Linked DNA regions of Canis lupus familiaris. The protein of the gene in region 1 interacts with the protein of each later gene in a pairwise test. Links are inferred from orthologs where the notes say so. Each region holds a gene or a part of one and is shown on either strand. Other genes may lie near its edges. The genes, in order: USHBP1, C15H1orf216, SYNJ2BP, TRIM54, KLHL38, DYDC1 and FAM107A.

What was found.
Region 2: the proteins of USHBP1 (region 1) and C15H1orf216 interact in binary tests that used the Homo sapiens proteins (3 or more experiments, as listed by UniProt). The two-hybrid records come from large-scale screens. The link is inferred for Canis lupus familiaris from reciprocal best matches to the Homo sapiens genes USHBP1 and C1orf216.
Region 3: the proteins of USHBP1 (region 1) and SYNJ2BP interact in binary tests that used the Homo sapiens proteins (3 or more experiments, as listed by UniProt). The two-hybrid records come from large-scale screens. The link is inferred for Canis lupus familiaris from reciprocal best matches to the Homo sapiens genes USHBP1 and SYNJ2BP.
Region 4: the proteins of USHBP1 (region 1) and TRIM54 interact in binary tests that used the Homo sapiens proteins (3 or more experiments, as listed by UniProt). The two-hybrid records come from large-scale screens. The link is inferred for Canis lupus familiaris from reciprocal best matches to the Homo sapiens genes USHBP1 and TRIM54.
Region 5: the proteins of USHBP1 (region 1) and KLHL38 interact in binary tests that used the Homo sapiens proteins (3 or more experiments, as listed by UniProt). The two-hybrid records come from large-scale screens. The link is inferred for Canis lupus familiaris from reciprocal best matches to the Homo sapiens genes USHBP1 and KLHL38.
Region 6: the proteins of USHBP1 (region 1) and DYDC1 interact in binary tests that used the Homo sapiens proteins (3 or more experiments, as listed by UniProt). The two-hybrid records come from large-scale screens. The link is inferred for Canis lupus familiaris from reciprocal best matches to the Homo sapiens genes USHBP1 and DYDC1.
Region 7: the proteins of USHBP1 (region 1) and FAM107A interact in binary tests that used the Homo sapiens proteins (3 or more experiments, as listed by UniProt). The two-hybrid records come from large-scale screens. The link is inferred for Canis lupus familiaris from reciprocal best matches to the Homo sapiens genes USHBP1 and FAM107A.

What each region holds. Positions count from the first base shown.
Region 1 is NC_049241.1:45,884,201-45,888,351, reverse strand, and holds the start of USHBP1 (Usher syndrome type-1C protein-binding protein 1), read right to left. Parts: upstream 2,801-4,151; 5' UTR 2,664-2,800; intron 2,383-2,663; exon of another isoform or gene 2,325-2,382; 5' UTR 2,251-2,324; coding exon 2,197-2,250; intron 2,100-2,196; coding exon 1,951-2,099; intron 1,738-1,950; coding exon 1,299-1,737; intron 1-1,298.
Region 2 is NC_049236.1:6,517,835-6,521,184, reverse strand, and holds the end of C15H1orf216 (UPF0500 protein C1orf216 homolog), read right to left. Parts: intron 3,221-3,350; 5' UTR 3,216-3,220; coding exon 2,529-3,215; 3' UTR 873-2,528; downstream 1-872.
Region 3 is NC_049229.1:44,326,590-44,330,603, reverse strand, and holds part of SYNJ2BP (synaptojanin-2-binding protein), read left to right. Parts: intron 1-627; coding exon 628-764; intron 765-4,014. UniProt on the Homo sapiens protein: Regulates endocytosis of activin type 2 receptor kinases through the Ral/RALBP1-dependent pathway and may be involved in suppression of activin-induced signal transduction.
Region 4 is NC_049238.1:21,322,092-21,326,531, reverse strand, and holds the start of TRIM54 (tripartite motif-containing protein 54), read right to left. Parts: upstream 3,174-4,440; 5' UTR 2,810-3,173; coding exon 2,642-2,809; intron 1-2,641. UniProt on the Homo sapiens protein: May bind and stabilize microtubules during myotubes formation.
Region 5 is NC_049234.1:22,342,401-22,346,018, reverse strand, and holds the end of KLHL38 (kelch-like protein 38), read left to right. Parts: intron 1-839; coding exon 840-945; intron 946-1,853; coding exon 1,854-2,143; 3' UTR 2,144-2,922; downstream 2,923-3,618.
Region 6 is NC_049225.1:30,231,151-30,235,621, reverse strand, and holds the start of DYDC1 (DPY30 domain-containing protein 1), read left to right. Parts: upstream 1-1,314; 5' UTR 1,315-1,330; exon of another isoform or gene 1,331-1,486; intron 1,487-1,511; exon of another isoform or gene 1,512-1,663; intron 1,664-3,633; exon of another isoform or gene 3,634-3,774; intron 3,775-4,471. UniProt on the Homo sapiens protein: Functions as part of axonemal radial spoke complexes that play an important part in the motility of sperm and cilia. Plays a crucial role during acrosome biogenesis.
Region 7 is NC_049241.1:32,298,137-32,302,641, forward strand, and holds the start of FAM107A (actin-associated protein FAM107A), read left to right. Parts: upstream 1-1,547; 5' UTR 1,548-1,884; coding exon 1,885-1,908; intron 1,909-4,505. UniProt on the Homo sapiens protein: Stress-inducible actin-binding protein that plays a role in synaptic and cognitive functions by modulating actin filamentous (F-actin) dynamics. Mediates polymerization of globular actin to F-actin. Also binds to, stabilizes and bundles F-actin.

The DNA.
Region 1 (4,151 bases):
ACTTATATTTGGGATCTAAGATAAAACAAAACGAAAAATTGAACTCACAGTTATAGAGAACAGAGTGGTGGGTGCCAGAGGCAGTGGGGGTGAGGAGAGGAATGTGGGTGGGGGTGAGGAGAGGAATGTGGAGCGGGGATCATCTTTCCCAGCCAGGAAGTGGGCCCCACCCCTTAGGCTGGGCTCTGGTGGCCCCATATCTTGCCACCTTGGCCTGCCCAAGATGAGGGCCTGTTCCCCCATCTCCTTCAGCCACATGGCTTTAGATTCCATCCACATGTTAAAGAGGTCGGGATGTGTTTCTCTTGTCCTGACATCTCCCCTGAGCTCTGGATTCTGACCCCACAACTGTGTCTTTGATGGTCCTACATGGGTGGCTCAGGGGTTTCTTGAACTCATTAGGGTCCCAACAGCTCCTGGTCCTGCATTTCTGGCTCCCAGTCCCGCAGGCCCCCAAACCAGGACTTGTCCTCAACCCTTCTCTGGCTTTCACACCCAAACCTGCCAGCTCCACCTTCGACACCACCCAGAATCTGCCCACTTTGTGCCACCTCCACAGTTTCCACCATCTGGTGTCTGGACCAGTGCCTCGCGGATCCGCCGGCTGTTCCTCCCATGCCTACCAGAGGGCGCCTGTGACCGCGGCACCAGGTCCCGCCCCTTTCTGCCGCGGGAGGGCGAGGGTGGGGGGGCGAGGGGGAACCCCCCAGGAGCCCACCAGGCTCAGGGCCAAAGCCCAACTCCCAGAAGCCCACAGACCGTGTAAATCTGCCCCCATCACTAACCTGCCCTCCCCTCACCCCCACACTGGCTTGCTCACTGTTCCCTGACTCACACTCCCACCTCTGGAAGGGAGCTCCTTCTCCGCCTGGCATGCTCTTTCCCCAGATCCTTGCATGGCTCCTCCCTTACCTCCTGGCTCAAGTGTCACCTCCTCAAGGGGCATCTCTGACCACCTTATCTAAGAAGGCAAGGCACCTTTGTTCAGGGCTCTGCAGCAGTCAACGCTCCATAAAAGTTTTTCTCTTTCTTTTTTTAGATTTTATTTATTTATTCAGAGGAGACACAGAGAGAGAGGCAGGCTCCCTGTGGGGAACCTGATGTGGGACTCGATCTCAGGACCCTGGGATCATGACCTGAGTCAAAGGCTCAACTCAAGTCAACCACTGAGCCACCCAGGCGTCCCTCCGTAAGAGTTTTTCTAATGAACAAACAATGGAAGGTTGCCTATGCCAGGCCCGCCTCCCCCTTAGACAGAGAACCCTCAGAGGTAGAGCACAATACGTCGAGACCCTCACCTCTCTCTGCAGCATCTCCTTCTCCCCCTGGATGGCCTGCAGGGAGGCCTGCGTGCGAATCAGCTCCTCCTCTCGGCTGCCCAAGGCCAATCGTAGCCAGTCATTCCTCTCTGCCAGGCTGGCTGCCTCCCTCTGGCAACCACTTGCCCCCTCCTGCTCCAAGCAGGGCCTTGGTCCCACCTCACTTCTGTCCTCTGCCTCCCCGGGCCCAGGACAGCTGGGGGGCCGGCGGCGCCAGGCAGCCGCCGCCGCCTCCAGGGAGCTCAGAGCATGCTGGAGAACCTGAAACACGTCAGAGGCTTCAGGCCTGGGGGGGACAGTCTCCCCATCCTGTGGAGCTACATCTCTGGCCTGGTGGCCTTCCTCTGCAGGCTTGCGGGGTCCCTCGGGAGATGGGGCCAGTCCTCTGCTAGAGTCCCCCTCAGCCTCTTTGTTGGTCCTGTGGTGAAGTGAGAGACAGAAGGTTCTGGAAATGGGGTCATCTGGGGTGGCTGGCTCACAGAGGGTGCATTATCCGGGGCCTTGAAAGTTGGGCAAGGAGGGCAGTGGGAAGCTACGGCGTGTGTGTGAGCAAGGGAGGAACACAGGTAGATCTGTGGGGAGGAAAGACACACCAGGGCCGGAGTGGGAGCCCAGACGGAGGGGACCTTACCTGTTCCCAAGGCCCTGCCCACTGGCCTCTGCCTCTGGCCCCTGCAGCCTCGGCTCGCAGCTCTCCTGAGATGGCACAGGGCCCAGCTCAGAGCTCCCGCTGGCTGCCTCAGCCTCCTCTGAACTCTCCGCCACGGGATCCAGCTCCCCCTGAAAATGACCCACAGGGCCAAGCTCCGAGCCAGGCCGGGGGCGAGGGGGTGAGTGACCCCAAAGAGCTGGATGCGGCAGGGAAGGGGGCACTTACAGGTGGCGCGTGCCTCCCTCGCCGGCTTCGGGGTCGCGTGGCCCGGGCACTCATTGCTGTCCAGAATTCAGTCCTCTGATTCTTTTTCCGAAAGCCGCAGCCTGATCTCGGCTCTTGTCTTTGTTGGTCTGGGCGAATGACAGCCTTAATACCTTCTTCTATGAAATGAGCATCGATCTCCTCCCGCTGGGAGGGATCTTGAATTACCAGTGTTGAGCTGGCACATTTGAATACCCCTCCTGACAGGCAGCTCACTACCTCACAAGTTTGTTCCCACCTCCCCTTGTCTTTTGCCTCCTTTATCTTTCACTACCTCTGTGCTCCCCTCGGTCCCCAATCTGGACCTGGCTCGAGGACTTCAAGAATCACCTCTCCTCCCCAGGGTCCTCTTGAGTCGGAGGCCCCAATCTTGGGGTTGGGTCCCCTCAGCCTGCTCTAATGCTACTCCTCTGTACCTCTAGGAATACCTTGGTCAGCAGCCCAAATCCCTGGACACTCTTGGGGTAGCTCTGGCCACTGCTTGCTTAGGCCCCGGGCTGGCCAAGGCTGGCTTGGGAGAGGCCGGGAAACAGGAAGCCCCCTCCCCTGGTCATGTGACTTGTTATTGTGCTATTTCCTCCTCAAGGACATCAGCTTCCTCCAGTCCCGGTGGGACACACATGTCCAGCTCCTGACCTGTCGGTCCTTCCTTGCCCCAGCCTCCAATCTCATGTCTCTTCCGCCTCTGAGCCTCAGTTTCCTTATCTGTAAAATGGGGGGGGGGGGCTTTAATTATAGGATCTGTCTACAGTGTCATGGGAATTTTAACAAGCAACTTGCACATGACTGAGCACCATCCAAGAACTGAATTGTAACACACCACTCTTGTTCGCTGCCTCTCCGGCCCTCCCATCTCTGCTTCCTCTGCCAGCTGCTGCTTCTCCTGGATTCCTCAGGGCACAGATCGCCCCTACATCCTGCCCATTTTTCCTGCATCCATCTCTAAAGGGCCTCGTCATCTCCCTCCATAACAGCCCAACCCTCTCCCCTCTACCGGGATGCCAGCCCCTCTCTCTCCGTGGACTCTACAGCCACCCACCCCTTGACTCCCTTCCCCTCCCAGGCCCCAGAGACAGAGACCTCATTGTTCACCTCTTCTGCTCACACACCCTCCATGACTCCCCATTGCCCTTGGGAAACATTTCAAGCTCTTCTACCCGGCATTCGAGGCCCTTAAAAATAATGCCTGCTGTCTGCACCCATGTATACTCCATGCTTTAGCCATGATGACCCCTCTGTGAACAGGTGAAGGTTCACAATTCTCACATCCCAGGGCCTTTGGTTATGCTGTAACCCTTTCCTTGTTTCTGCACTTGGCTTATTTTTTATTTATTATTTTTTAAAGATTTTATTTATTCATGAGAGACACAGAGAGAGGCAGAGACATAGGCAGAGGGAGAAGCAGGCTCCCTGCCGGGAGCCCGAAGCAGGACTCAATCCCAGGATCCCTCGGGATCAGGACCTGAGCTGAAGGCAGCCGCTCAACCACTGAACCTCCCAGGTGCCCCTACACTTGGTTTAAACTGCGCAGAGCCTGGAGTAGCCTGAATCTTCCTCATTCCGCTGACAGACAGAGGAGGCTGAGTCTTCCTGCTTCTGCGTCCCCAAAACTGGTAAGGAAATAAGTTGCAATTCTCTGACTTGGGGGCACCCAGGCACATTGAAATCTACACTCTTAGCCTCTGCTCCAGCCATTTTTTTAAAAAAAGATTTTATTTATTTATTCATGAGAGACACAGAGGCAGAAACAAGGCGGAGGGAGAAGTAGGCTCCCCGCGGAGAGCCTGATGTGAAACTTGATCCCAGCATCCTGGGACCACCACCTGAGCTGAAGGCAGATGCTCAACCACTGAGCCACCCAGGCGCCCCTGCTCCAGCCATATTAACCTCTTAAAGGTTCCATCGCTCCAAGGCTC
Region 2 (3,350 bases), on another chromosome or scaffold:
CCAATAGAATATGGCGACATTGAGAGGTCATCCCTTCCATGAGTAGGTTGCAGAAAATCCTGACCTCTGCTTGCTATTGCTCCATCACCTTCTTGGCTTGCATGCTTTGGTGGGCGAGCTGCTATGTTGGAAGAACCCATGTGGCAAGGAACTGAAAGTGACTTCCCTTGGAGAACTGAATGCTCCAACAAATAAGACCCCAGACCCTGGGCTGACTCTTTGGCTGCAGCCTTATGAGAGATTCCTACAGAAATTGTGAGATAACAAATGTGTATTATTTTACGTCCCTAAGTTGTGGGGTAATTTGTTATGCAGCAAGAGATACTTTATACAGATGAATTTTTGAGAAGCTAATTAATAAATCATCATACAAACCAATGTAAGACAGAAGGTCGGGTCTAGATTGGCACAGTGAGTCTCGGAAATCATATGCATGTACCTAACCCCATCTGTCAGAACCATCTGAGGAGCCTAACTCAGTCTTTTGCAGTCAGGGCACCCTTCAGGGAAGTGGTGGCTCTAGGGCAGGGTTGAGTAGGAGTGTGGTGGGGAGGGAGGGAGCATATGTATCCCTCACCATCGATGCCTACCGCCCCCTATCTTCAGGCCCAAAGGTGCCTTAGGACAAGGGTAATCCCATAAGGTGCTGTCAGGCTGAGGCCAAGTCTCCTCCGTCAGACTGAGAGGCCTCTGAGGAGAAACTCTTTGCCACCCCCATCAGCCACAGCAGGCTGGATTCCTCCTCCCCGGTGACTCCCCCCTCCATCGGTCTCCTCGCTCCCAGCCCAGAACCCTGCTTATAAGGGCAATTCAGATGGTGTCGAAAAGGGGCCACCAGGCACTGGGTGCAACAGAGACACAAACTCAAGAAATGCATTTCGCTGCCCCAGTTTATTCACCCTGGCTTGGCCCAGAGACCAGGTTCAACATGCAAGGGTGAGACACAGAAGTCCCCAGGACCATTGCTTCAGCCTCAGTCCCAATACCCTTCACCCCCCCCACACCTGTCAGGGATAGAACTCCTGAGAGGCAGGAAGAGTACCCGCATTTTGCAGACAGGGAGACTCAGCATCATGCCTCTGCTCATCTACCAGGATCCTGCTTCCTCATGGCTCCCAAAAGCAAAGCAGAGCCCCCGGCTGCTTTAGTCCTTGGTTGTCCCCAGAATTCACCCACTCTCCGTTTCATGGGAACCTGTCAACCCCCGCTGAAAGGGCCATGCAGTGACCGAAGGGTGATGACCCAGTATCCTGAGAGTTTCCAGGGGCTGCGCTGCTGGCCCCCCTGTGCGCCCTGGAAGGCTGACCACGGCTCCTCTGGGCCCAGGCAGCCCGACCGCAGGAAAACAGGCCAACCGAATCTGACTTCCCGCGACGCTAAAGCCGGAGGGGGACAGCAAGTAGAGGCACAGAGACGAAAGGGAGCTTTCCTTCCCCGGCAGTCTTGGAACACCTTGTCCGGCCCTCGCAGGCGCGTCAGCACATTCGCTCTTATCAGAAGCTTCAATCTATATGACCTGCAACAGCTCCTTGGACGTGGAGAACATGGAGAAGCTGGTTTGTCTCCAGGTGGTAGTTTAGAATCCGCATTCTCCTAGTCCTCACAGGGTCTGCGGCTGTCATCTCCCCTCCCCATCTCCCCCCCCCATCTCCCCCGTGCCCTGAGGCAGAGTCCAAGGGGGACAGTCCTTTATCTTCTCTGATCCCCATCCCCCCGTCCCTGCCCCAGTGGCCATCACCACCCCCAGCGCCCCTCCCTCATTCTAAGTCTCTACCAGTTGCCAAAACTGTGGCCAAAAAGCCGTGGCAGGCCGGAGCAGCCCCCACACCTCCCACAGCGACTCTACTATCGGGGGACAATGGCCCTAGTAGAGCAAAGTCAGAGGGAGAGAGCAGGGGGTGGCCTGGGAAACCTCAGGGGCCTGGGTCATCCACACCCGCACATATGACTGCAGGCGCCCCTCCTCTGGACCGATGGGACCCTGTGGAGAAAAGAAGGCTGGGGTTGGCGATGGGAAACACAGGGTGGGGAGGCCCCAGAGAAGCAACTGAGTACGGATCTGTAGATACTTGCTTAGGAGTTGGCCTGCAAACACACATGCTCCAACTACACACTTCCTGGGCCTGGCCCTGCACACGCAAAGGCACTTTCACATACACCCACCACAAGCCCACACACTCAAACTCACTCATCTGCACACACACCTTTTGCATATATATCCTCGCTCACGTACACATATGCACAAGCATACCTGTTCACGCCTACATATACACACTCACGCCTTCCTACACGTGTGCTGTAAACACATGTGTATGCATTCACAAGTAGGCCTGCACCTAAGCTGGCTTTGTGGACACACGGTACACAGGTGCTGATTCACACAGGCCTGGCTGCACGTTAGCACATACGTCCTCACTTTTGCTTACCTGCACTCACGCCAGCCAAGGATTATGTACTTACTTGTGCGCAACCCCACACATGCCTGCAAATATATCCATGTACCCCTGCCCCCCTGTGGAGGCACACCCTTAGCCCTGATCCTGGGGCCCGGATGGGGCCACCCTCTGTTGGAGGCAGCGGATGAGCTCCTTCCGGTTGTCTAGGATGGTGTCGAAGCTCTCCTGCAGACGGGTCTGCTGGTCAACCAGCTGGTGCTGCAGGCCGCGGATCCACTGCAGCAGGGCCAGGCGACGGTACATCACCAAGTGCACGTGGTGCTTCTCCTTCTCCTGCTCTTTGTAGCGCTCCTGAGCCTGCAGCTGCCGCACCGCCTGGGCCACGGAGGGCAGAAGGGGATCCTGAGGGCCCGGGCCCCGAGGGGTGCCGCAAGCGGGCTCAGGACTGCTGCCTCGGCTGCTGGTGCTCAGGGAGCTGCTGGCGTAGCCATTGTCCTCCAGGGGGGAGCAGACGGTGCTGGCCCCACTCATCTTCTCGAGCTTGGCCCTAGGGATCTCCTCCCCTTCTGGTGGGCTGCGCACCTCCCCCTCGGCAAGTCCAGGGGCCTGGAAGGCCTGGTTGTCAGAGGGCAGCTTGGAAGAGCTCCTCATCAGCACGGGCTCCCCTTGGCCTGGCATCCCATGCCAATTCTCATTGGCGTCTTTGGCACTCGCCAAGAAGTTCAAGTTGCTGTCTGGCTGGAGCTCAGGCTGACATCCTCCAGGCGGGGCCCCAAGGAACTGGGCCCCCTCGGCTACCCCTGGCCGGATGGCAAACATCTGGTCTGCAAAGGGGAAGCAGGAGAATGAGTTAGAGTAGGACTGGGTCGGGGGTGGGGAATGGGGTGCCCCAAGTCGTGGCAACCTCGCTGCCGGGGTGCGGGGGCAAGGCCGCGGGTGGGGGCCAGAGGCTCC
Region 3 (4,014 bases), on another chromosome or scaffold:
GTTTAGTCCTATCATGAAGCCTCAGTTGCCTTTCTAGTTCCCAGGATTCCTGCCAACACCTACACTCAAAATAGAAAAATAAATTAAACTCCTAAGACCATTTTTTTCCAAAACACCTCCATATGCAAACTGTCCTGAATGTTGGGAGAAGGGAACTATGAAGGGGAAACTTTGATTAGGAAACTCTCTTCCACTAAATTAAAGATAGTTCATTTGCTTCTTATGAACTCACCCTGTTACATTAATAGCAGGAAAGTCAAGAATTGGGTCCTTTAAATGCCACCAGCAGAATCAGAATTGAATATGAACAGAAGTACATCTTACAAGAATCACTGTTATTCTTTTACTGAGTTTAGAATATAGATCTTTCTTTTTATACTAAACAGACTATGTTGATCTCTGTGTTTGTATTTTTAATCTTGCCTGGCCTAAGTGGGCAACTCTGGGTACTCTTGACCTCTGTTGATGATCCTCTTCACTAACCTTGCCTGTGTCTATTGACCAGTTACATCACAGTTTGACTCACCAGCCTCCCCTCCTCACTAGGCCTCTCCTCTTTCTCTTTCTTCTCTAATCCCTTTCTACTTCATCACTATCTCCTTCACAACTCCTCCATGATTTTCTCAGGGCTGGGCTTCAACATCGTCGGTGGGACAGATCAGCAGTATGTCTCCAACGACAGTGGCATCTACGTCAGCCGCATCAAAGAGAATGGGGCTGCGGCCCTGGATGGGCGGCTCCAGGAGGGTGATAAGATCCTCTCGGTGAGAACTGGCTTCGGCCTCCTTCACTGTTTCTTGCTCCCTAGACCCCAGTTCTTACCCTTAGCCCTTTCCTTGGGAAGATTTCTGCCTGCCTTTTTGGATCTGGAAATATCTGGATTGTAGAATATGGTGGGAGGGACCTTGATCAGTCACCTTTTCCTGCCCAAACATAGAGCAAAGAGGATAATTCCTTACTTGATAGACAAGGCATCTTCAGTCCAGAATGTGAAGCTACTTTAACCAAGTTCAAAAAACAGGGAATAGGAAAGGTTGAGGGGCTGATGTAGGGGAAAGAGACTTAAAACCCACAATTGTCCTTTTTCAGTTATACTTTATCACCTCCCTTTCATTGAAAGATTAATGTGTGTCTTCCTTTACTCCAAAGAAACAAAAAAGGAAGGTAGAAATTAAGCTTCCTTTTTAGACTCAAATCCCTTCTCACCCGTCATGAAGATGAAAAATTTGAATGCATTCTCATTTGGGTATCTGTCCATTGTGCTCCCATTTCATTCAGCTAATGTTTGTAATAAGACACTTACTATATGGTGAGCTTTGATTTGATTCTTTTCTAAAAGTTTCTCAAGGGCAGGGACTAGATCTTTTTTTTAACCTTTTACATCCTTGCAATGCTCAATATATATTTAACAAATGAACAAGTTAAGAAATTCAGGCAAGCCCAGAAAGATTGGCTGATCCAGAATATAAATATAGTATTTTGGATAGTAATAGCCTATTTTTGTCCTTCTCACCAGCTATTTTGCCTCTTTTCAGACCATTAACCTTCTCCTAGATCCTGTTTATTAATTTGAAAGATACAAACAGTGATAAATACCTTTTATCTCAAAATGATACTGTGAGGTTTACAAGTAGATTATTTCATATTAGCTCCCTGGAGAAAGACCTCCTAAAAACATGAAATCAACTTGAGTGGAACATTAAGGAAAATTTAAGAGTGGGTTGTTAATGGTATAGCATGTAGGCAGAAATTATGCAGTTCATAGTGACATATAACACATTCTCTCCAGAATACTGGGGCCTGGGTTACATTTGAAAAGTATAGGGGTTCAGAGGACAGCCATATTATTCAAAAAGGTTTGGTAAAGGGTAGATTATATGAGAATGGTTAGAAGTTTTTGAGCACCATATGCTAAGCAATATGCTGAGAACTTTACGTTTGTTTAATATTGTGGTAACCCTATGAGGTGAGTACAATTATTATAACTACTTTGCTGCTAAGGAAGCTGAGTCTTGGTGAGGTCAAACAGCTTGCCCAAGGTCACACAACTGGTAGGTGGCAGAGGACTAAAACTGATCTGTCTGAATTTGGAGCCCCTACTCTTAATCAGTATGCTGTACTGCCTCCTAAGAAGTAAATGAGGAGCTAGGACTAGGTATCTAAACAGAAGGTTGTATGGTTAATTAATAGATATTTTGTATGGTTTTATATAAAAACAAATCAGTCTTTAAGGGTATAATTGGAGGGAAAAGGTCATTTAGCTCAGTATGAGAGAATTTATTAAACATAAGCTAAGATGAGCAGCCTTTCTTATGTGGACCATTGCCTCATAGAGAAAAGAAATTATTGGAAGGCACTCAAGTTTTTTTTTTTTTTTTTTAGAGAGTATGGTAGGAGATGGATGTCCATGGAGCAAAAAGTAAATGTCAAAAAAACTGCTCTCTTCACCTTGAAATTTACACCAAACAGGATTTTACTTTATTAAAGTAAAACAAATATGAGAAATATTACAAAGACCTATACAATATATTAAATATTACAAATATATATAGGACATATAACAAGGAATGATTCAAGTTTATGTTTTGGACAATTAAGATATGGGAAAGAAGAGAGGGAGGAAATGCCTGACAAAAGTTGTAAAACAGATAGGAAGAGAAAGAAAGAAGACTGAAGAGAAAAAGATGGAGCATATACAAGAGGAGAAGGCCAGCATATTCTCTTCTTTCTTTCTTTCTAGGGCTATCTTATTTATGACTCCAGTCTCCCTATCAAGAGTTTGCTCCAACATAATTCTTTCTAGATCCTTTTCCTAAGAAATACTGCCTCTCTCACCTTCTCACTGTCTTTTCCACTCTCTCCTTAAGTGAACTCATTGGGCATTAACCATTAAATGGTTATGTCTCCTTTGTAACTCACTCTCCCTCTGATTTAACTAAGTGCTCTAATACTGGCTGTGGAGTCTCTGTAAAATGATGGTGCTGAACTGTTTATTAGCTTATATTCTCCTTGATTCTTTATGGGTTTTTCTGTTCTCTTCACATAGGCTATTTTTCCATGTTGTAAAATATGCCCCAGCTCTTTCTTTTAACTTTTGCTAGATAATCAAACTAAGAATATGTTACTTCCTTGGCACATCCATTTTGGATAACTAATACAAATCTTATTTAGTGATCTAGATTTCCTAGAGTTAGTATTGACTAATAAATTAATCTTTCCATTTCTCTTGAAATAATGCCCGTGTTTTGTCTTAATTTCAAGTAAAACTAAATAATTGCATGACTTATGCAATTCCCTCTTGCTCATTAAAAGTTAAATTACATTTTTTTGTGACCTCTGTGGAATGTTTAAACTTAAAAAAATGGGAGGGGGAGGAAGAAAAGAAATTCCTTTAACATAAATTATTTTTAAGGCCCTATTGCATCTGACAACCATAAAACAAAAACAGGTATTACTAATAGAAGGACCTGAAGTTGAGATGAGGGCTGGAGATGGAGATTCCTCACCCAGAGTTTATTTTGTATGTGATGGTTAGGGCAATTTAATATTTGTATAGGTTACAAGGGAAAGATTTTATTTTTGAGGGGAAAAAAATGTAAACTGCTTAGGTTTGTCATTTCCGTTGTGTGCCTGCCTAAATGATGGGAGGTGGATAGTTAAGAACAGTCCATGCTCAGTGAATGCTGCATTTTTATGAAGTTCAGGGTGATATGAGCTAATTATTACACTGAATAGATGAATATTCCCTTTTGACCAAACCCTTTATATAACAAAATGGCACAGATCAGGCCACTAGTCAGCCACATTTCATGTTTTCATCAAGTGTAATTCTTAACTTGGTGAATGAAAGAGCTGAGTAGTCCTCAGCATTTATAGCTGTTATACTTGACAGCCTGCAGAGCACCATGCCAGGTGCTCTGGAATGATTTGAAAAATGAAACACTCACCTTCACACATAGCTTAGAAATCAGTGGGAAAGACCCACCAGAACCCCTCATCTGCTTGGCTGCAAAG
Region 4 (4,440 bases), on another chromosome or scaffold:
TAAATAGACTGCAGTCCAATCATAACAATGGAACACTATGCAACCATTTATTTATTTATTTATAGAGCGAGAGTGGGGGAAGGGCAGGGAGAGGCAGAGGGAGAGGAAGAAAGAGAATTTCAAGCAGGACCCAGGCTCAACCTCACACAGGGTTTTGATCTCATGATCCTGAGATCATGACCTGAGCCACAATCAAGAGTCAGAAGCTTAACAGACTGAGCCACCCAGGCACACTTCTGCAGCCATTTTAAAATGAAAATGCGGATCTGAATGTGTGCAGATGGAACAACTACAGAAAGAGTAAGTGAACAAAAGCAGATTTAGGACAATGAGTGTAATTTAAACACACAAACATAGGTGGACCTATCCATGGAAAATCTCTGGGAGGGTACCCAAGAAAATTGGAAATGGCTACCTCTATTTGGAGAAGGGAAGTGAGAGCCTGAGGTAGTCATTTTTCATGCTATAAACTCCTATACTATTTTTTAAAGTGTGTGTGTGTGTGTGTGACACTGTAACTTTTATAAGTTCTATTAACTTTCTAGGCAATGTTCTCAGGGTATTCTTCCTAAGTGGTTTTAAGATAGAGTTACCAAAAGTCTTATTCTTGTTCCCATACTTAGAAAACAGACAATCTGATTATGCCTACAGTTGTCAAAATGTGGAGGCAATGTGTGAAAAAACTAAATATGCTCATCTTTCAGAGGGAGAACTACTGAGATGTATATACATAAGTGCAGCCAAAGAACTGGGTCAGCCTCCCACCAGGCTGCCCCAAATAAAGCAGAGCAAGGAAATGAGCTGTTCACTCTTCTCCTTGGTGGGGGATGCCCAGGGGTGCTCTGCACTTTAAAAGAGACATATCAGTCCAGATCCACAGAACCATCTCAAAGTTCTGGGAACCATGTTGTTTCCCAAACATTCTGCATAGGGTTCAGCCCAGTCTCAGTTCTCTCTGGGTCCAATCAGTATTTCAGAGCTTTAAGGCACCAAAATGGTGCACCTGGATATAGAGCACTGACTAGAACAAGGGAGGCCACTTAAACATTCTGTAGCCTCCATACAGAGAGCTTTTCCCTGGGACCCTCTGCCCGATGATACTATATGCTTCGTACTTTGATACTCTGGTGGCTTTTTTTTTTTTTAATAGGACAGATTACCTTCACTTTCAAAACTTCTCTTTGCTTTCATGTATTTCCAGATCTAATGGAAAGATGTTTCACTACAAATTCATGAAAAGTGATGGCAAAACCTTGTTGCCATTCCCTCCTAGGCATCTGACTGAAGGATGTTCAGAAATGTACTTAGCCTGAGGAAAACTAAAATAGTGGGCAAGGCGAAGCCTCTAGTACATGACTTGATGTCCAGGATAAGCAGACAGAGCAGTCAGCCCTTCCCAGAGAGGGAAAATCCTTGGCTCTGAGATATTCTGGAGCCAAACAATGTAACGGCAGGCTAAGACACAGAAGAATAGGAGATGGGAATGGGCTTCAACAGGAAGATGGCAGACTGCCAAGGATAGGTCACAGGGCACAGCTATGGGACAGCCTGACTTAGCCAGCCCATTATTTTTTCCCAAACATGCTGCCCCAAAGAACAAAAAAAAAAAAAAAAAAAAAAAAAAAAAAGAAGCATTTTCTTGGTTAACTTTAAAATCATTTGCGTTCAACACATTTCTCCCTGAATTCTGATACAGGTGAAGAATATGTGTTAGTGATGTTCCTTAACACTGCCCTGCCTACTAAGCTAGCTAGCTCTGGTTTATTCAGATATTTTACTTCATTTGCAAGGGGTGTGTGTGTGTGTGTGTGTATGTGTATGCAACTTTTCCCCTTACTTTCTCTGATCTTTCTTCCAGTGGCAGAGGTCAAAATAGAAAATCCATTTATAAACCATTCTGGTATATGCTGCATTTCTTTTTGAAACCAGTAGCTAAAATGACATCTGTGAATTTGATTAGCTATGCTTTGCCCCATGACCGCACATAAACCAAAGCTGGTTGCATTTCTCTACATTCTCTCTACTTAAGTGACCACAATGCTTTTTAACCAGCAGGCCCCTTTATTGACCAATCTGGAGTGGGGCACAAGTGTGAACTTTAGTTGGGGAGAATTCCCAATCTCCTACCCACTCCCACTCTGCCCCAAAAGATGGATGTGTTAAGCTTGGCCTCAAATACAAATACTTTCATCATGGACTGTGCTCATAGGGCTTATTTTTTAATGTTTCATTATCTCATTGATATTTTCTCCAAATCTTCCATATCATTCTCAAAATCTGAAACTCTAGACTGGAATAGAGAGTCCAGTACAGATTGTTAAGCAGCTTAGGGTAGGACCACCTCCCTCCCAGTTTCTAGTTTCTATGGGGGTCTTCTCTCTTCTGCAGATACCAGCTTTCCAGCTGCTGTCCAGGCATGCATAGGCTGTCCTTGCCAGCCTGCAGAGCAGTTGCTGACTCATGCTTACTTTGGGATCTACTAGGACCCCGAATCTTCTGCTCTTCCGCCAGGACAGACACCACCCACTTCATAGAGTACTCTGCCCCATCACCTTCTGGTCTCAGCTCTGACCTGATGAGAAGTCTCCCACAAATCTACACTGCTTTACCTGGCCCTGCCCTCCCCCGATCCCTGGCCCACCTGGAAGACATCGTTGGCACACTTTCGGCACAGGTTGTGCTGGCAGGGCAGGATCACCACCGGTTTGGAGAACATCTCCAGGCAGATGGGGCAAATGAGCTGCTTCTCCAGGTTGTCCATGCTATGTGCATCCCCTAGCAGCGGCTTGAAACCCACTGTGAAGTTCATCCCCTCAGCGATTATGCCTGCCCTGGCCTTGGCCCTAGTCCTGGCCTTCCCTCACTGCCCCTGGACCCTTCCTCGTTTACTTTAGACAGCCCGTAGATTCTTATGGTCCCTTCTACTGCTCACTCTTGAAATAGGTCTGCTATCTCTCCTGTCCCTTCCTCCAACAATTCACCTCGTCTTCAGATAGCTGTTTTCAGATACTTCTCTTTATTCCTTGCTCTGTACCCCAGCCAGGCACATGTAGCTTTATCTGTCCCTCCCTTCCTGAATGATTCTGTCCCTGAAAATTTCTCCTTTTGTTTCCCAAATGATTCTTGTTCACTCTATGGGCAGTACTGTTTGTCCCTCACTTCCCAGAGAGGAGATTAATTTTAACATGGGGGTGGGGAACAAGGGGCATCTGCATGACATTCCAACTCCCAATTTAGCTCATGTAAGGCGAGCCACAGCTGTCACCAAGTGAGTGACCCTGACTCACTCAGGAATGGGTGACTCTCATAAGAGCAGGAGTGAGCTCCACTCTTATGGTGAAAGGTGGGTCTGCAAAGATGTCAAGCTCTCACGCTCAGTAGGCTCTGGTGAGCCCCTGACCCCCATGCTCTGGTGTGGGCTCTTCTTCTAGGGCAACAATGCAGAATCTAAAATGGCCTGGATGAGAACCATACATGGCTCAGGGTGGAAGGAGAGATCTCAAAACCTAGTCAGGACCTCCAAGGCTCAACCTGTGATCCTCACCCTGTTCCGCTGAACCCTGTGATTCAAAACAGGGGCATCAGACACTAGAGGGAAAGACTCTGGTCCAAAACTTCCGGTCCATTCTTGTTCTTGCCTAGAACTTTCTTGTATCACCCTAGGAAAAGAAGCTAAGGGCGCTAGAGCTGGCAGCTGCCCCAGGGCCTGGAACGACCTCATGAGCATGCCTCTGAGAAAGTGTGGGAATCTGGTCCATGAACACATCACTGGAGCAACTCCAAGGACTTTAAATTTGTTGGGAAATCAAGAGAAGTTGAGCTGAGCAGAAAGGACCCGAGTGCCAGGAACCTATTTTGGGCACCAGGGGAATTGGTCTCCAGGGAAATTTTAGAGCACTGACAAAGTCATAATCACAAGGCTCCAGGAAGCCTCTGCCCCAACTCTATAGTTGTTCTGGACTCCTCCTTTCCAAAGCAGGCTGGTCTCAGATAGGGGCACCCACCCTCTGTCTTTTTCTCCCATGGGCCTTTTGCTCTATCCCAGGCATGATTCGTCTTTTTGAGGTCCAACAAATGCATTGGGTTGGACAAAAAAGATCGTTTATTTACTGACATTTCTTAGTCCCTCTCCCAGTCAGGAGAGAGAAGTTTGAGGAGTTACTCAGTTCTGACCTTGGGTGGATGGGAAATAAATGGTGTGGAGAGGTTACCAAACAGGCAATATGAAGAGGCACGAGTGGGGAAAGGGTCTGTAAAAGTAGTATCTTTTCCCTATAAAATGTTTCATGCCCATTTTAAGAACAACATATATGGTGATAAGCCTGCATAAGATGTGGTAAAAAGGATGGAGGCAAGCAACCACTGATGTATGAACTTTGGTCAGCCCACAGGACCCATGGTGAGGAGTGTTGTGCTGTGGTGGAGTCCAGACAGAATCCA
Region 5 (3,618 bases), on another chromosome or scaffold:
ATCAAATCTGAAAAATGGGGGCAAGTAAGGGTACCTACTTCATAGGATGGTTGTGAAGATAAATCTGGCAAAATGATAAAAAATAAGAGCCTTTCCTATGGTAGCAATTATATTTAATATAGAAAGAATTGTCACTTACTTCGGTAAATAAATGTTTTGCTCCTTCTTTTATGAAATCCATCCTGAATCTCTTGTAGTAAATTTTGCTAGTAGTGAACTAATTTACATTTGATATTTAAACTTTATTTACACTGAAGGGAACATGTTCTGGGAATCATGATTTGTGACTCTATTTCAGAACGTGGCCAAGGAGCCCTGCCCCACCTCTTTGCTCTTTCTCTCTTTTCTCATGCTTCCTCTATGATTCTAATGACTTTCAGGCATGAACTATTCAAAAGCCTTCCTCACTTAGCCCCAAATGTATTCTTGGCTCTAAGGCCCTCCCTGATACACTGGAACATTTAGAAATTTAAACATGAGCTGGAAATAGAAATGATTGAAAAATCATTGGTTTTATGAATACCCGAGCTGCTCCATTTCCCGAAAGAAAAAAAAATGTTCCAAGCAAGGTAAGTAAACACATATTACAATGCATAACTCTCGGTCCATTCTATAGAGACATAGCCAAGGATCTCATGGGGTCACATAAAGACCAATTTTTAGTGATATGTACTTTCTGCTATTTTATTTTATTTTATTGATAATAATTTACCTACCTACATTTTAAAAAGTCAAAAGAAAAAGAGTCAGTCTTATTTCACTCTCTTTAATAGTACTTCATCTTTTTAAAAATACATATCACTTTACAATGTAGCGCCATGATTATATTTCTCCCTCAGGTTTATCACATTTCCAGAAACACATGGTTCAAAATGGAGACGAGAATGATCAAGAATGTGTGTGCCCCCGCAGTGGTGCTCGGGGAGAGGATTGTTATCGTAGGAGGTGAGTTTGAACAGAGGATCTCTAGGCTGGACACAAACTTGGCATCTCCCATGGAAAAAGGGTCACCAGTAGACAGATGTTGTTCTACGAAACAGTGTTTTTAAAAGCACAACCATCCAACTAGGGGAGTGTGGATGACTTGACAAAGTTCTTTTCTCATCCAGAAGTTTCTCCCTGTCTTTATCTGTAAACAAAGAATGAAATAATACCGATTTCACGGAATTGTTGTGATAATAAAATGTGCTCATATATCTGAAGCACTTAGCACTATCCCAGATACATGGCAAATACTCAAAAAATGTTTGCTACTGCTAATAATATTAGCCACTAATAGATCATTTCTCTGCGATTACAGTATAGTGTCTCGGCTAAGAGAACTGGTTGTAGGGTCAGGTTCAAATCCTGATTCTTTCCCTGGCTATATACTCTCGGGCAAGTTATTCATCTTTTCCTGTGCCTCCGTTTGCACATCTGGAAAATGGGGATCCTAAAAGTGTGGGCCAGATAGGGCTATTGTGGGAGCCATTCCTGAATTCCCAAGGCTCCTTCTATGGATTTTTAAGTCTGGGGCGGGGGGGGTGGGGAGGGAGCATGTGAGAGAGTTGAAAAAGCCAATGAGACAGAGGAAGCTGCTGGAATCAGGAAGCTCCTCCCAAACTAATGCTGCCTTAACTTGAGATGAAGCATTCAGGGACCAGAAGCTGACAGATCTGAGTCTAAACCCCAGCTTTGCCACCTGCTAGATCTTGGGCAGGTTCCAGAACATTCTACACCTTAGTTCAGAGTTATGACCCTCAGAGTCCAGCCTTGGTATTGGGAAATGGCAGAGATCAGACATGTTTGCAGACCACAGATTTCCAGTCCCAAGTGAACAATGCTGAGCTTGCCGATATGCCATTGGTTTTCAGGTTACACAAGGAGGATTCTTGCTTATGACCCTCAGTCTAACAAATTTGTCAAGTGCGCGGACATGAAGGACCGGAGGATGCATCACGGGGCCACGGTGATGGAGAACAAGCTGTATGTGACCGGGGGCCGGCGGCTGACCACAGACTGCAACATCGAGGACTTGGCCTCCTTTGACTGCTATGACCCCGAGACAGACACCTGGACGTCCCAGGGACAGTTGCCTCACAAACTCTTTGACCACGCCTGCCTCACTCTGCAGTGCATACCCCATATCCACACCTCCCCATGAAGCTTCCAGAAACCAAGGGTCTTTGTCAAGATCCTTTCTGTTGCAAGAGATGGAAGCCCAACTCCAAGGAGCTCAACCCCACAAGGATGCAGGGAGTGCCCACAGGACTGGAAATCCCAGAGCCCAGAAGCCTGAAAGCAGGCATATTGTTGGCAGAACTCTTCACACCCCCACCTTCTCTCCCCCTCTCTCCCCACTTTCCCTCCTTCTCTACCTCATCTCTGTCAGACGTCATGCTACAAGCAAGCTGCTGTATCCACAAAGTATGAAGACAATGGCAACTGCTAATCCTAGACTCACATTTTCTAACGTTGCCTTTTCACAAGGCAAGAACTTTACCGTTTTCCATGTATTAACCCTGAAAATAATCCCAACTGGCCATTTCTTAATTCCCTGCCTTCCTCTTGAGCCAATCATTGTTTCCAGGGCTTGTGCTGCTATAACTGTGTAATCCCGGATCACATCCCTACAGGCAGAGGTTGACTGTCACCATTGACAGCTCATCCAAACAGCACAGAGGAGATAGATGCAGCTTCCCAAAGGAAGAACTGCTGGCCTGACCCAAACCACATCTGCCCAGGTCATCATGGAAATCCAGAACAAAAGGGTCCCTGGAAGCACATGGTCCAGGTGGCAATGTGGAAAATTGGCCATGACTGTGTTTCTTTGCATTCTATGGATGCAGTAAATTGGAATTTCGGGAAAAAGTGTGCAATGCAGTATCTAGCGTTTGCAAAATTATCTATGTGGCCAGAATAAAGTTTGTTTCTGGTGCCAAATGATGTTTTTCTCCAGCCTCTGGGGAGCTATAAACCTGCAGAATTAATCAGGATTTTCATTTTGGTAAATGTTATGAGAATCGCTCTTCTGAGGAAAGCCAACAAATTCCTCCAGGGATTCCAGCAATTATTGCCCTCTCCAAACCAGGGCTGAATATCGATCCCCATGGCCCCCTTGGTCTCAAAGTGCCTCCCAAGCTGGCTCCTGACCCAAGTTCAGAATAAACCAAAGATGGTGACACATCACCATCACCTGAGAAGGTGTTTGAAAATGGGGCCAAGCCCCCTTCCAGATGGACAGACAGGGATTCTCAGAGGTGGGCCCAGGCCATTGTAACATACAGTCAAGATTAAGAACCATTTCCCGGCTCAACCATATGAAACCTTCGTGTGTTGACCCCCTTCCCAACGTGTTCCAGCCAGCCCTGTGTCACAGCCTGTCACAGCACAGCAGCACAGGCAAAGTCTTCTCCCCAGCAATGGAAGCATCTGGAATGGGTCTCACTGCCGTGAACCTAGAACCAGAGTGCTCCTCAAGCTGGAGCCTTCCTCCCTGCCCTGATCTCCAGGTTCACCTTCTGGATTTTTCCTTTCTTCCTAAATTGTTTTTTTTGCACTTTAGTTCCTCCTCCTGGGGTCTGAAACTTTGCCCCACTCCCCAGACCACTTGGCTATGGTCCAGACCCCCTGCTCAGC
Region 6 (4,471 bases), on another chromosome or scaffold:
AATCCCCACTCTGCCACAAGCCTCTCCACTTTCCAGCCCCTGAGCGCCTGCTCTCCTGTGTAGGCCGCAAATCCTTTCTGGAGGAAGCATCTGCTCTAAATTGCACGTTTTCAACCATGGTCTCCATGAATTTTGGAGCCTGACGGTTTACTAAAACTTGATGCAAAGACAAGAGAGCCAGAATGACAGAGCCACAGCTCAGGGCCAGGAGAGGGAGGGGCCAAAGAGGTGCCTTTTGCAGCCCTCTCTCCACAAACTGAAGGGCACATTTAGCAGAGGAGAGGGGCCTAGTTTTCCTAGAGCTCCTCTGGGAGTCCTTCACACGCCCTCCCTGTTCACCGCCTAGCAACCCAGGAGGCAGGCTGGGAAGCACAGAGGTGGCCTTGCCACACCACACTCCCAGGGCTAGGCGCACGGTGGGTGCTCGCAAGTATTTTTTGACTTAATCTCCGAAGGCTCTGGCTTGCTGGCCAGGGCAAGAGCCTCCGCTCCTTCCCAGCTGTCAGCGCCCACTCTGGTACTCCTGGCCTTAACCGCCGGGGCTGAGGCCGCTCCTGCCCAGCACCGCCCAACACAGATTAATCCAGAACCTGGGAAATGCTAGCAGAGGGTTGTCCACAAAACACTAGGTCAGGGAAGACCTGCTGCGGTGGAGGCGGGGCCTTCTGGAGGCAGAAGCACCTGTGCTGGTCCCAAGAGGGGCCAGGCGGGGTCACCAGCAACCGCAAAGGTGCGGAGCCGGCAGGGGGCCATGGGACTTTCCCAGCCTGGGTGGGCAGGCGCCCTCTGCGGCCTGTCCCACGACCCCGCCGCCCCGGCCCTCCCAGTGCACACGGGCCTGCCCGCCTCTGGCTCCGTCCTCCCAGCCTGCAGGTCTCAGGCTCGGCTCCATCCTCCCAGCCTGCAGGTCGCAAGCTCAGCTCCGTCCTCCCTCCCGCAGGTTGCAGGCTCCGTCCTCCCAGCCCGCAGGTCTCAGGCTCGGCTCCATCCTCCCAGTCTGCACGTCGCAAGCTCAGCTCCGTCCTCCCTGCCCACCGGCTCCGTTCTATCCTCCCAGCCCGCAGGTTCTAGGCCCTGCTCCATCCTCCCAGCCCGCAGGCCGCAGGCCCTGCTCCGTCCTCTCTCCCGCAGGTGGCAGGTTCGGTCCTCCCTGCCCGCAGGTCGCAGGCCCCGCTCCGTCCTCCCTCCCGCAGGTCGCAGGCCCCGCCACACCCGCGCCCGGTCCTCCCCGCCGCCCGCCCGCCCCCCGCGCCCCTACCGCGTGCAGGGAGCCACCTGGGTCCGGGGCGCGCGCTCGTTGCCTAGCGACGGGACGCGCCTCGCGGGGCCGGTAGGTGCGCGCGTCGGGTGTGCGCATGCCCAGCGCGGACGCCCAGCGCCCCGCCCCGCGGCGGGTGCTTGGGGGGGCCCGCGGCAGCCGCGGGTGCGGCCTCGGCCTGGTGAGCGGGGAGGGGCCCCGGCGGCGCCCGGGCTGCCCGGCTGAGAGGTTAGTGCCGCGCCCTGGCAGCGCCGCCGCCTCCGGGCCCGCCCCGCCCGGTCCTCCGGGGCCACGCAGGGCGGAGGGGGAGGGGACGCGGAAGGCCCGAGACCCCTCTGCAGACCCAGGATGGGGAAACCATGCAGGCTCCCCAGGTCGGAGGGTGCCAGGTAAAGCCCGGCACAGGTGAGCTCCAGGTAGACGACGAACCAGCTGGCTTATGCTGCCCTGTGCTAAGCGTTACTCCCTGTTTCTCCAAAATTCATATTGACCCGGGCATCCTATATATATATATAGGATATAATGTATATATATTAGATTTTATTTATTTATTCATGAGATTGACACAGGCAGAGACACAGGCCGAGGGAGAAGTAGGCTCCCCGAGGAACGTCTGATGCGGGACTCGATCCCGCGACCCCAGGGTCACGCCCTGAGCCGAAGGCGGGTGCTCCACCACTGAGCCACCCAGGGGTCCCATCCGTATTATTTTGTGCCGCATCGGGCAACTCCACCCGAACCCCCTCCCCTCCCGCCAGGCTGGGCGGCCCCCCCCCGCTTGGGCAAGGGACCTCTTTGTATCTCTTGTTCGGCCTCTCCAGGCTTGAGGGAGCCGTGTCTCTGCGAAAGGCCTTTCTTACCTGGAGCCGAGATGAGATGCCTGTTAGTGTGTCTGAAAAATAACAACCTGTGAGTTGGGTTTTATCACCATTTCGTGGACAGGAAACCAGGGAAGCCAAGTAAGGAGCTTCCTGGGCTCTGCTATCCCGTGCCCAGGAGGATTCGGGATCAGATTCTACTCCTAGCCCAGAAGTTTCTCCCTTGGGGACATGGTCCCTTTCCCGAGTATTATCCTTCTGGAACAGCAGCACGAATCTGTTCTTTCTTTTATGTTTCAAGTGACATTGAGATGTCACTGTCGTCATTTTTGTCTTTTTGAGTGTGTCGCGTCGAAGAAGCACAGTGAGGATGCTGCGTCTCACACTCGCTGATACTGTAATTCTTCTCTCCGTGTGGTGAAGACACCAACGCCAGCTTGAAAGGGAATTCGGTTCATTCGTGCCAGTTTGCAGAGCTTAAGTTTTTATGACCACGTTTATGGGCACACATACACACATTCCTTTCCCCACTGCTTTCAACAAAAGAGGTGGCTTACTCTATAAACAATTTCTGCACCTTTTTAATTCACTTTGCACCGTGTCCTAGAGATCACTCCCTATTTTAAAGATCTTCCTCGTGCCTTTTATATGATATATATGCACCGTCATCCATCGTGTTGCTGTGTCTCATCAGTCCCTTAATGATGAGCTTTTGGATGAGGCTCCAGTTTGACTGTTCTAAGTAATGGAGCAAAATAACCACATGCACATATCATCGCTCCATATTTTTGCAAGTTAAGATCCGACAAGTGAGATCAATGGTTTAAAGGGTAAATACTTACGTAATTTTCTAGATACTGCCAAATTCCTCTGCGCAGGGGTTATACCATTTTGTACCCTCACCATCGTCAAATGAGAGAGAGCACTTTGGGGATTGAAGGATGAACCTCAGGAGGTTGTTGTTTCTGAAATTTTATGCAGAACATTTGGTGCATTTGTCCAGGGACAGGCCTAGACATGCTGGCATTCTGTTCTCTCATGTTCAGCTCATACCTGACCAATGATGCGTATAGTATATATTTACTGAATGATGAAGACATTTCATTAGATTCTTAGAAGTGACTGGTTTCCATAAGGGTAATTTGAGAGTGATAGTTTTTTTTCAAAGCACCGGAAGTACAGTGTTTGCTATATTCTTTCCTCCCTGCCTCCTTCCTTCTTTCCTTCCTTCCCTCCCTCCTTCCTTCTTTTCCTTCCTTCCTTCCTTCCTTCCTTCCTTCCTTCCTTCCTTCCTTCCTTCCTTCCTTCTTTCCCTCTTTCCCTCCCTCCCTCTCCTTCCTTATTTCCCTCCTTCCCTCCCTCCTTCCCTCCCTTCCTCTCCTTCCTTCTTTCCTTCCTTCCCTCCCTCTCTCCTTCCTTCCTTCCTTCCTTCCTTCCTTCCTTCCTTCCTTCCTTCCTTCCTTCCTTCCTTCCTTCCTTCCTGTCTGGTCTAAGATTGTTCCTGTCCACCTTCATAACTGCATAGACTGGGACATTACTGGGAGGATGGAGGAAGTCATTCACGTGCCTCCACGGAGAGCCAGCACGCCTGCCCTGTGATTAAAACACACTCCTTGAGGAGCTGGAGGAGCTTGTCTTCTAGCAGGAGGACAGACATGTGTGTACACACACGATCTCGGCGTGCATGACAAGTGCTGTGTGAGTCGCTTGGAGAAGGTGGGGCTTCTTTGCGTTGCTTGGGAAAGTCCAGGGAATGAGAGAGGGCCAGCATCTTGCAGGCGAGGAGATGTTTCCTCAGCTGGGAGATAGAGAGAAAGCGTTATGGGCAGAAGTCTTGGAGATGGCGGTGTGCAAGGCGTGGCTGTCAGGATGGCAGACTGCTGAGGGTTGTCAGAGCCCAGGATATGCTGGCGGCAGGGGAGAGGTCTGGGGTGAGCCTGAGAAGAAATTGGGGCCAGGGGATCCCTGGGTGGCTCAGCGGTTTAGCACCTGCCTTTGGCCTAGGGTGTGATCCTGGAGTCCTGGGATCGAGTCCCACGTCGGGCTCCTGGCATGAGCCTGCCTCTCCCTCTGCCTGTGTCTCTGCCTCTCTCTCTCTGTGTGTCTATCATGAATAAATAAATAAAGTCTTAAAAGAAAAAAAAGAAATTGGGGCCAAAGTGTGAGGAGCTTCATATGCTATTCCTCGAAGGTTGAATTTTTTTGTTTACTTTTTTGTCCTTGGAGATTCATGGACTTTTGGGGTTTTTTGTTTGTTTGTTTTTATTTTTGAGGTAGAGTATTATGATATTATGGGTATTATGATTTTCTAAAACTACCCTCGTGGCTTGGGAGGAACATCTGGGTCACAAAGATTATGACTCTGGAATCAAGAGTTGGGTACGAATCCCATGTT
Region 7 (4,505 bases), about 14 Mb from region 1:
TGCAGTGTGCCAAGCTCTATTTTAGAACCAGAGGGTAAACTGATGAATGAGACAGACTGGGTCCCAGCCCTTGTGGAGCTGCCATTCAGGTGCAGGAGCTGAACCATAAACGCAGAAATAAAATCATTCCAGTTGCTGATAAATGTTATGAAGAAAAAAATGAACAGAGAGCCTCGGAGGCTACTTTGCATAGAGGGTCAGGGCAGGCTTCTTTGAGGAGGTGATCCTTGAGCCTAATGGATAAAAAGGAAAGAATTGCACGAGATTTAAAAATGTAGTCAAGGGAGAGAGATGGAAAACCTTCCCAGCAGAGAGAACAGCATGTGCAAAGGTGCTGGGGTGAGGAGGAGGGTGGTATGATCCAGGAATTGTCAGGCAGAGAGGGGAATGGGAAATGAGGTCTGAGAGGCCAGCAAGACTTCATGGAACAGAACTGTGTTGGACCATGGGGAATTTGATTCTATGGGCAAAGGTGGATCTAGAATACTTGATCCTGACCCTTCACTACCAACTGCCATTTCATAATCCTTTGTACAATAAGTCCTCACCACCCCGGAGCCAGGCATTGTGCTAGACAGAGGAAAGACAGGGCTGCAAGTTTTCCCTGGCCCAGCCATCTCTTAAGAAAGGCTGTTCTGCTTAATCAAACTGGTTACCTGGGACTTGCCAATGGGCAGTGGTTTTATCACGAGTGGCATTAACAGCATTATAACAAGCAGCACCTAACTTCTCTGGAAAATTCCTATTCTCCAAATCCTCTGCCCAGAGCTTTACACAAGTCACCTCATTTCATCCTCAGGGCCCCATGGGGTCAGGGGCCATCGTTACCCCTCTTCCGTCAAGGGGGAGAGTGTAAAACAGAGAATAACATCATCTGATTTATGCTTTAAGAGAACAATGGCTCTGGCTGTGCACACCGACTTCTTTCAGCCATCAGAGCAACCCTGTGCTGTGTGATTATAGGAGCACACACACGAAGAAACGGAGGCTCCCAGAGGTCAAATCATGCCCCCCACCCCCACCCCCACCCCCTGGGTCATACAACAGTGAGGAAAGAGTTGGGTTTCAAGCCCAGGCTGGTTCGGGCCTTAACCTCCTCGCTCCATGCTGTTGATAATAATGAAGGAGGGTAGCAAGTAAGGAGGAGGGTAACTGCTGGGGGAACTTTGAGAACTTGGCCCAGGGCCCGGAATCCAGCCTCCAGATAGTCTCCTGGCCTAAGCCCAGACCAGCCCTCCCCAGCTGGGCTACTGTCCTGTTGAATGAAGTACTCTGCTCTCAGTGTCTCCGCTCCACGAGAGCCCTTGCCCCCAAGTGTCTTCAAAGATCTACTATTAATGGGGCTGCTGCCCAGCCCGAGGTTTACATCCCCACACAAGCCAAGCCTGCCCTGAGCCCCATACCCCAGCTAGTCCACACAGCCTCCACTGTCTGGGGCCTGTCTGCTGATCGGTGCCCAGCCTGGCAAGAAGGCCAAGTCCTGCCTGCTGGGCCAGCCAGAGGTCACCCGCTGTACTCAAGCTGCCGGCCGCATGGTGAGAGGACGGCTTTGCTTCTCACCTCCCCACGGATGCCTCAGTCTCCCCTCCTGAGAGAGGCAGGGGTGCAGGAAGTGAGGAGCTACAGGGACCACAGGACGTGTGGGCCCTCTGGGGACACCATACCCCTCTGACAGGATCAATCACCCTAAGCCTGTCTGAGGAGCTCTGGGCTTAGGAGCAGCTGTGAAAGCCTCCTTTGTGCCTGAGAAGAATGAGCCACGAGAGGACGGGGGACCCTGGCCCAGGGAACCCCTTGGGCCCCAGCTCCTGAGATCAGCATCGGCAGGGAGGACCCCAGCCGGGCCCCCCAAGGCCCACCCAGGCCTGGTGCCCGCTTTGTGCCATGGGAGCAGTCCATGGGAAGAAGGTAAGAGCCCCCGAGGGTCCTGCTGGGTCCCTGAACATGGGGAGGGAGACTGCACCTACCGGGTGGGAGCCCCCATCTACCTACCTGCCAGCTCCATGGGCCTGAGCCAGGCACTGCCCACCAGCCTCCCTCCCTGAGCTCACAGCCAAGATTTGCATCTAGAAACCTAGCTGGGGCTTAGGACAAAGCCTTCGGATCTCTCCACCCCTGGAACAGACCTGGACTGCCCAACCTCACAGGCTCTCTGGTCTTAGACACACACCTCTCTACTTCCCTGCATACAGGCTCCGTGGCCGCACCTTCCCCGTGTGCCAGGGAGCACCGGTGGGCAAGTTACTGACGCTTCCTGTAAGTCATTTCCCCATCTGTAAAATGGGGACAATAGTCACTACCTCAGAGGCTTATAGTGAGAATTAACTGAACAAAAATATATGTAAAGTGTTTCAAACAGTGCCTGGCACATAGTGAGCTATATATAAGCTATGTTCTGTTATTAGAGTTCTCTTCACATTTTTATGCATCACCTTCTATGTCTGGGCTCTCAGTTGGAGATTTGTAGACAGAGCCTATGCAGTGTTTCTGAAAATGTGGTCTATAGAGACCCTGTGTCTGCATTAGAGATGGGGCATGGGAGGGGGCTTGCTCCACAGTCTCCTTCTTAGGGCTCACCCACACTTCCTGGATCAGGGGAAGGGGAGGCAGGGCTCCCCAGGGATTCTTATACACGCACTCAGTCCACATCACCAGGACTGTGACCCCAGCGGTAAGGTCAGGCTGCCTGGGCCCTAGCTCCTCCACCTGCCTTATAAGGAACTGAACCCCCCTGGATCTCTGGATCTCAGCTCCTCACCTGTAAAGTAGGGCTGGTCCTCACCCCTTGGGAGGGGCCACGAGAGGATGCTATAAAGTATGTAGCATGCAGCCTGTCACCCAGACAACCCTAATAAACGGGGGCTCTAACCCTCAAACAACTATGGTTCTGCATGACTCTAAATTTTCTGCCAACCGAGCCCAACCCACATTTTTCAAATTTAAAGTAAAACACATCATTGGCAGTCCCCATGGAACAAGCTTTCTGGGCCTCAGTTTCCTCATCTGGAAAATGAGCATTGGGTTAGATAACCCCTGGGGCCGCCTTGCACCAGCCTCTGCTCCCAACCTCCTTTGTTTCGGGTGCAAGTCAGGCCTGGAAACTCCTGCCTCCCCTCAGCACCCCCAGCAGCAGTATCCTAGAAGGTTGTTGTCCTGGGGCTGTCCCTTCTCCATCCCGCCATGCTCATGGGAGCCCCCAGTTGCTGTTGTGGGTCACCTGCTGTTCTTGTGTCTTCTCTGATACAGCCCAGAGCTGCCTTCCCAGCAGAGCTTTGCACCCTGGCCCCACCCAGCCCCCTTCAGGAACATTCTTCCAGCTTCTCCCCTCTCCCAAGGGAGAATGAGCTCAGCCTCTAGATCCTACCTGTGCAGGTGCAGTCACCTTGGAGAACGGCTTCTTCCCAGGCCTGGAAAAGACCCCGACAAGGTCTAGCCTAGGAACAGCAATTACAGCTCACAGACTGCCTCTCTCTCTCCTCTCACCGGTGACAAACTTCACGAATCGGTCCCTACACCCTTTCCCACGAAGTCCAGATGACCTCAGAATCTTCCTCAGCACAGCATCCCGATCAGAACTAGCCCCCAGACTGAAAAGCAGGCATGTGCTGGGCCCAGGCCCTCCTCCTGCCCCCAGGGAGAGGCTGCCCCCCAGGGAGAGGCCGCAGAGGGTGAATGGGAACACGGGCTCTGAGGTCAGACACACCTGAGTCAGTTCTTCCAAATACCCGGGGACCGTGGACAAGACAGGACCTCAGGTTCCAACCCCATAGACTAAAGATAATAATCCTTCTCACACTGTTGTAAAATCTAAATGACACCATGCCTGGGGATGAAGTAGATCCTTAGTCAACGTTCGTCTCCCTCTGGGTTTGATCCTCTCCTACCTGCGTCCTTGTCAGCTCTTCACACCCTCCCTTTGATCCACCAGGGGCATTAACATCACACCCATGGCAGATGAAGAAGCTGAGTCATGAGCCAATGTGACTTCCCACAGCCAGCCAGTGGCTGAGCCAGCCTGGAGCAGAGGCTATGAGCCGGCCCAGGCCAGGCCTGCTGTGGGGCTCCCCCGTCTGTGGACCACCCCCCAGCCCTCCCCCACACATGCCTCCTGCTCTGTTTCTGGAGGCAGTAACCCAGCTGGCCTCTGCAGGATGTCTGTGACACGCCTGGGCCGTTTGAGGTCTAGCACCCACTGGCCTGTGCTATAAAGGTCACGGAGCTGTCCTGGGGGGCTTCTCGGACCCCCTTCCCACACTCATGGCTTAACCATAGCTATAAAATCAGTTCTGGAAAACCCCTGGCAAAGTGGTCCAATCCCTTCCCCATTGTACAGCTGGGAAGACCGAGGCCCAAGGGCGGAAAGACTTGCCAGGGCCACGCAGCCAGGGTCAGACCATTTCCACAAGGCCCAGCAGCTCCAGGCCAAACTCTGGAAGCACACGGGAAGGCAGTCGGTCTCCTTCCCCTGCACCGTGAAGGGCGGGCATAGAGGACTCCTGCCCACG